2 linked regions of the Nothobranchius furzeri genome follow. The protein of the gene in region 2 purifies or fractionates together with the protein of the main gene of each other region. This does not show direct contact. Links are inferred from orthologs where the notes say so. Each region holds a gene or a part of one and is shown on either strand. Other genes may lie near its edges.

Evidence for each region. The genes of interacting proteins can lie anywhere in the genome.
Region 1: the proteins of copz1 (region 2) and copa fractionate together in Homo sapiens (co-fractionation; 6 studies listed by BioGRID and IntAct, with this or other methods). This does not show direct contact. The link is inferred for Nothobranchius furzeri from reciprocal best matches to the Homo sapiens genes COPZ1 and COPA.

What each region holds. Positions count from the first base shown.
Region 1 is NC_091751.1:41,093,008-41,096,762, forward strand, and holds the start of copa (coatomer subunit alpha), read right to left. Parts: upstream 2,474-3,755; 5' UTR 2,318-2,473; coding exon 2,278-2,317; intron 1,999-2,277; coding exon 1,885-1,998; intron 1,806-1,884; coding exon 1,732-1,805; intron 1,602-1,731; coding exon 1,521-1,601; intron 1,228-1,520; coding exon 1,151-1,227; intron 916-1,150; coding exon 806-915; intron 1-805. UniProt on the Homo sapiens protein: The coatomer is a cytosolic protein complex that binds to dilysine motifs and reversibly associates with Golgi non-clathrin-coated vesicles, which further mediate biosynthetic protein transport from the ER, via the Golgi up to the trans Golgi network.
Region 2 is NC_091755.1:25,755,056-25,758,810, reverse strand, and holds the start of copz1 (coatomer subunit zeta-1), read left to right. Parts: upstream 1-1,023; 5' UTR 1,024-1,136; coding exon 1,137-1,154; intron 1,155-1,569; coding exon 1,570-1,638; intron 1,639-3,074; coding exon 3,075-3,156; intron 3,157-3,235; coding exon 3,236-3,327; intron 3,328-3,453; coding exon 3,454-3,509; intron 3,510-3,604; coding exon 3,605-3,682; intron 3,683-3,755. UniProt on the Homo sapiens protein: The coatomer is a cytosolic protein complex that binds to dilysine motifs and reversibly associates with Golgi non-clathrin-coated vesicles, which further mediate biosynthetic protein transport from the ER, via the Golgi up to the trans Golgi network.

The sequences.
Region 1 (3,755 bases), on a different chromosome or scaffold from region 2:
ACAATTTATAACCTATAGGGCATGTTGTGATCTGTGGGGGAAACCGGAGTACCCGGAGGAAACCCACACATGCATGGGGAGAACATGCAACTCCACGCAGAAAGGCCGCAGGCGAGTTTTGAACCTGCAACCTTCGTGCTGCGAGGCAACAGTGCTAACAACTGCACCACTTTAGTAACTGTTCAGTTTTAAAAACGTATTGAACTTGAGAGACAAAACAACAGGGGCCTTCCACTGAATGTGATCTCTCAAAGCAAAATCAGCATGAAGACCTACCGAGGAGAATTGTTACAGCATGCAGTTTAGCATTTATAATGCAGCAATGGATGCAATCAAGCTCAATATATTAACATTATATAAAGCACAAATCCAGCACAAGTGAGGTCACAAGATAAATAAAAAAATGCACATTTTCCATGTTTAAAAATTAAAGAAGATGAGAGCAAAGAAATTGTTCAGTTTGGGTAAAAAAGAAAGAAAGAAGGAAACACATTAAAAGTGTTAAAACCATGCAGAGATACAGAAACACTTCTCCAATTTCACTGGACCATTTTACACTACACTAGATCTTCTCCAGGCCACCATGCAACGTTATCCCTAAATGCAACAACATAAATGTCTCGGTCCTGAAAGGAGAGGTGTTTCTGCAAAGAGCCCACAGAGAATTGTCATCTAGGAGCTGGAGAGAAAGAAGAGGTAAAGGACTTGTATTAGTCCTGTTTCTGCCTCCTTCCACTCTGTACTCAACCCCTTCACCCAAACCCAGCCCACTGTCCACTCTGGTCCTTTCATCCCAGGCCCTCACCGGAGATATCCCACACTCGCACGGTCTGGTCCAGACTGGCAGACACCACCAGGTCTTCAGATGGGTGGAACTGGGCACACATCACGTAGTGATTGTGTCCTGTGAGTACACTGGGTGACACAAAAAGGGAGGGGGAAAGAAAAATCTAACTTTAATGTTTGCAGGGCAGTGAAAGCTGCGAGTCAAAAACTAGAACAGACCTATAGTATAAAAATTCTAATGTCTGAAAAGAGCTCAAAAGCAATTTACTGAGTATTTGAACCCACACTCTTCCCTGTATCGAATCAAATAGCTAAACTATGACTCGACGATTAGTAAAATAATAAAGTGCACCAACTGTCTTACCATACACACGTCCTGGACTGCCAGTTCCAGATGCGGATTGTCTGATCATCAGAGGCACTCAGAATCCAGGGGTATTCCTACAGGTAAAGTGAGTATTTCATGAAAAAAGCCAACATACAACCATCGCAAACATAAAAAAACTTTATGAACCTTCACAAATTTAAGCAAGGTCATTTATTAAAACCCAAATGCAAAGCTGACTCAAGTTGTATCAATCTCTTTACTGTTGTTCTGTTTATGTTTATATTAAAAATCAGGATCAGAACTCTAGATACATATCCAAGGTGTTAAGAGACTTGAATAAAGCTATTAACAATACATCAAGTCACCAAAGATACATTTTAGGACAAAGTGTGACAGTCCAACTCACATGATGAAAGAATGTTGTTCTAATGTAGTCCAGGTGTCCGAGAAGAGTAAAGAGGCAGCGCCTCAGCTTGTAGTTCCACACCTGGTTCAAACAAATTCACTTATTAAACACAAAAACCTAAAAGGTGACAAAGTTTTAAGTATCACAAACACTAATCCACAATCTAACCCAAACATATTTCCTATAATTCCAGTTTTAATAGCAGTCTTACCTTGATTTTATAGTCATCTCCTCCAGACACAAACAGGGGCTGCTGTTTATGGAAATCAATTCCTCGGACGGGGCCTGCAGGTAAAACCACAATTATTTATTTATAAAAAGGTGCGTAATATCAACAAACACGATAGCCACGTCACCGTCTCACCGTCATGTTCATCAAATTTGTCGATCAGTGTGCACATCCGATAGTCCCACAGCTGGATCACACCGTTGTGCAAACTTGCAAGAACCCATGGCCTTTTGGGATGGAAACTCAGGCCTGAAATGTAACATATGCTGGATTAAATATAATAACACACTTTAAGAGCTGGGAACCCAAAATACGTTAACGATAGCTACCCCAAACATATGTGAGCGCAACCGCAAAATGCTAATCATACAGAAAATTGAACGTATGACGAATGTATGTAAATACTTAAATAACAACAGCAAAATATGTTTTAAAAACCATCTCCTTTTATAGAATACATTAATTGATCAGGTTCACGCCAGCTAGCGATGTTAGCTTATGTGCTATTAGTTGTTGGCAAACTCTTACCTTTGACTCGGGCCGACTTCGTTTCAAATTTAGTTAACATTCTCACCGTTTAAGCCCTTCAAACCCTAATATTAAAACTATGGTTAAAACAAAAGTAATCAATGAGAACAAAAAAAAAAATTCAGTGTAAATGACAGGGACGGCCTGGACTCCTTCGCCTGTTTAGCCGATTTCTTTTTCCTGACACGTAGTCCGCTTCTGTCTTCCGGTTATGGACAATAAAGTTTTCCTCTGACGCAGAAAGCTCCACGGCAGCGGCGAATAGAAATAGATCTCATCGAACTGCACCAACAGGCGATCTTGGGAAGTCCCAATGAAAATTGAGTTCAAACTTATAAAGCTGATATAATTCGGTTATATAAATGACAATGGTAAACCCGTTATTGCGAATTATAAATTTAAAAAAAAAAGAAAACTGAGATTTTTCATGAGTCCTCCCGTCCTCCCCGACTTTTTATGTAGATCCGACATTAGGCGCCAGAGAGCTTAACAGCGTCACCGCCATATTGGGTGGGTATAAATATATATATATGTCCGAAAATATATTTAATACATTTATGTTTGCTGGTTTTAGATCTATATTCTGTATTGATTTTTCACGTGGATATGTATATTGACAAATGTGGCCGTTATATTAACACATTTAATTACTGTTACTTTGAATGATAGCAAGACTGGATGCTTGGTGGGTGACTGCCTTGTAAATCATTTAATATATGCAGATGACCTAGTCCTCATGTCTCCCTATAGCGCAGGCCTGCAGCAGCTGCTCAGGGCATGTGCTAAGTATGGTGAGCAATTTGACATACTGTTTAAAGAGTGTGGTTATGATTGCTGCTACTAAAGGGGACCTGAAGCTTAATTTTCCATCTTTTAACTTAACAAATCAGGTCCTCAAAGTGGTAAGCAAAGTAAAATACTTGGGGCACATTTTAAGAAGTGACCTCTGTGATGACGAGGATATTAAGAGGCAATGCGGTAAGTTGTACATGCAGGCTAACACTCTGGCACGTAACTTTGGTATGTGCTCAGATCCTGTTAAAGTGTCCCTCTTTCGTTCCTTTTGTACTCCTTTCTATGCAGCCCACTTGTGGTGCAGCTATAGTAAGGTAGTAATGAAGAAGCTTCAAGTGGCTTATCAGGATGCTTTTAGAATCCTCATGAAGCTCCCTAGATGGACTTCGGCAAGTCATATGTTTGTTATAACATCCCTACTTTTCATGCGCTTCTGAGGCTCTTCATGTATAAATTCATCTGCCGACTGAGTTTGTCAGCTAACGCTGTTGTTAGAGCACTGTCATCTTTAACTTACAGTGACACGAGGTACTCCTCAGTCCTTTTTAAACATTGGAACAACTATATGGTTTTTAATTTGAATGTGTTTTTTACTTCTTTTTTTATTCTTGTTAAGGACATATCCCTTGTCTGAAATAAAGTTTGAATGAATGTATTATTATTAAGGATTTATTGGGGGTTCA
Region 2 (3,755 bases):
AGGGTTCCTATGGACATCAAAAAGAAGGATTAGGTTCTAATTTTCTGGTTTAACAAAAGCAAGGAAATAAGATCATGATGTTAGAAAAACATATTTAGCTTTTTACGTTACAGAAATCAAGTTTGTGAAAACTTGATGAAAGAAAAAAGTTCAGTCTGAAATGCTAAACTTATAACTTTGTTGCAAAGCTACAGAATTGCATTTAATTTTTTAAACACTATCCTCCATTTACAAAAAGCAACAAAGTCAACAATGTTAAAGGTGAAACAATTTTAGTAAGCTTGTTAAACGGTGCTTATTGAGTGACAGTAAAATAAAATGCAGATTTGGATTTACGTTTATCATTTTGTGTCACATCATTGCAAAGTAAATGTTATGAAAGATTTTAAGACTTTAAAGTGACTTTCTTTTATTTTCCGTTATGTGACTTTTCAGCTTTTCGATTTATGGAGAAGAGGACAGCTATGGTTGCACCCTTTTCTGTAAAACCACATCCTTTTTTATATTGTTCATCAAAACATTAAACACGTTGCTCTTTAGTCTGCATTAGATGCATTGATGTACTCGAAGTTGCTACTAAATTGGGTACTATTATTTTGAATTAAAATGTTTTTATTTTTGATTGATAGTTTGATTGTAATAATCCAACACTGTATTCACAAATGCAGATTTTTATTTATGATTATTACAAAATGTACTAACTGGAATAATAACATAAGTGCATTTACAAAGTCCCTGAAACTGGTCAAGAATTAGTCAGTCATTTCTTTTGTCCACAGTTTGAAATATTTAATCTAAAATATTCAAATGTTCAATTTAAACACAAAGGCTATTCAGATTTGTTTTATGTTTTTATAACATTTATTTTTGTGCTTATTTTTCCCCAAATTTTTTTAACATTGAAGTTTATAATTTTATAAATTTTTGTTGTTCAAACTCCGTTCAATCTGTGCAGTTTTCAGGTAAAAAAAAAATTCACACATGATGAAGACTGTTTTGTCTATAAAGTTGTTAATAAAGTTTGTTTAAAAAAAGTCAACAGTGACGTAATCCTTGCTCTTACGCACGACGTAAGATGCTGGAATTGATTGTAGGCTAGTGTTAGCCGTGTAGCTGGTTTGCCAACAAGAAAGAAAATGGACTCGCCTATCCTGGTAATATCTAATTTATTTTTTCATGACGGCATAATGTTAGTGAAGCGTTTAACCTCGTAGTGTAAACATTTTTTTAAATTGTCTTCATAATTTAGGCGAAATGCTGCTTATTTAGCATCCTCCCGAGTTAACTTGACAGAGAGCTAACTACAGTGTTAGCTAACTAGTTAGCGTCGAGGAAGTATGTGTCCGTTTGTTGCTGATGTGGAAGTGTCATGTCCTCCACCTGACATGAACAAGAATACCGTCATGACAACATTTTTACAACCGTTTTTGATACATGTCTTAAGACTAAACGATCCTATTATGGCCTAATCACGGCCATTTTTCTTAAACTATCCTTCTTACTACAAACCTTAATTTCTAGTCCTTTATGTTTGTTTAAACACAACGCACTGTACTGCTGTCTTCACAGGAACCCTCTTTGTATACGGTCAAAGCTGTTCTGATTCTGGACAATGACGGAGACAGGCTTTATGCCAAGGTATGACTTTAATCCTGATTCATCTTTTTTACTTTAAATATTTTCTTCAAACACGCAAAGTCTGATTTAATGTCAATATTACAGCTTTTCACTTGGATTAGATCCCCCCAAAAGCAATAAGTTAATTATTCAACACACCTGATACATTTTCATAAATTTTTCATGACCTATTTAATAATAATAGATTTGAGCTGTACACAAACAGTTTTTAGATGTATTTGAAGGTGGTGATTGCAAAGCACTAAAAAAAAACACAGGAGTCTTTTGTGTAATTAGATAGAGAAATTTAATTAGACAAATTACAGGCGTTATTCCTTGGTCTGTTGGTCTGTTTAAAATTTAAGGTGTTCCTGATTTATATGGTTAACTATTTTAATTTTAATTTAATGTATTCATTTTTAAAATGTATCTTATTTACTTTTTATTGCTAAAAATGGTCAAAGCTGATGGCTCCTACCCCCACACCTTAAAGTTTTGTTTAAAAACAAGTTTATTTTTACTGACTCAGTATAATTCACATTATTCAATCCTTGTAATTTTATATCATAATTTTAAATATTGTTAATCATAGAAGCAAAGTTTTAAATGTAAAACTATGTTACTAGGTTTTAAATATGTTTGCTTCCGTAGTAGAAACCGTTTGGCTAACCCCGGCTTTCCACGGGAGCCGTCAGCAGCACGTTACTGCAGCAGCACGTCATAGCTGCTGATAGGAACCGCTGTGGTCAACAGAACCTTTTCCACCGGAGCCGCCGGCAGCCGTCAGCAGCGCGAGTCGGCCGCGTCTCAGGAGCAGCATGTCGCGGCCTTTACGCGCCGGTTCTATTTTCTACGCGCGACGCCTCTGAAACGGGTCAAGTTCGACATTTTTGGGGAAGGAAAGACAGGAAATCGAACGCGGAAATGGGGAGAAGCTCTCGAGATTTTCAGAATAAAGAACGTACTGCCTTCCGGTTGCTTTACTTTTAAAAACAGTTACTAACTGTGCGTCCCCGTGAGAAGTTATCACACAGCTAGTGGTCTCCTTTGTTTTTCAGGTCCGTATTGGCGATTATAAAACGGACAGAACATAAAACACAAACCATGTTGTAGTTTTCTCCTGCTTGTTGTTGTGTTTACTGACGAAGTCACTCGTGTGACTTCGTGCTCGGTCGGTGACAGCTGCTCCCCTGCTGCTTCGCGTCTCGTGGGAAGGGCCAAGCAGCAGCTTACGCGAGCAAGACGTGCTGCTGCAGTAACGTGCTGCTGACGGCTCCCGTGGAAACCCGGGGTTAGTGTCACAGAATCGATAGGGAAGTCAGACCTTTTAGAAACTTAATGTTTCCTATTTTAATGAAGAATATTTTACGTACCACATTATTTATATACTTTAATGTAAAATAATAGATTTATTTGAATTGTTTTAAAATGTACTTTTCTTCTTGGTGTGTCTGCAGTATTATGACGACACATATCCGACGGTGAAGGAGCAAAAGGCGTTTGAGAAGAACATATTCAACAAAACACACAGAACAGACAGTAAGCTAAGCATATTAAAGGTAATTGGTTTGCTTCAGTACATGACTAAAATGTGATGGTATTATTTGTTTGTTTGTAGGTGAGATTGCATTACTGGAAGGCCTAACTGTTGTCTACAAGAGCAATATAGATCTCTTCTTTTATGTCATCGGAAGTTCACATGAAAATGAGGTAAAACTGAAAGAACTTTCATGAAAAGTCAGCCTTTTCTTAATTATAGCAGATAAAACAGTCACATTTTAACTGCTAATATTTTCACATAATTACTATTTGTTGAAATTTGTTCTTTTTCAATAGCTTATGCTCATGGCTGTTCTAAACTGCCTATTTGATTCCCTCAGTCAGATGTTGAGGTATGTCTTGGTAGCAGTTTAGCACAAAATGTCAAATGTTTATAAACCATTAATCTCTCAGATTGGGATTGAGTTATTTCTCTTTAATTTTACAGAAAAAATGTTGAGAGGAGAGCTCTGTTGGAGAATATGGAGGGACTCTTCTTGGCTGTGGATGAAATAGTGGATGGGGGGTGAGTTTGAACCACCAATGATCTTTAACTAAAAACTTTTTCTTTATACTTACTGTGGTGTTTTGGGTTACTT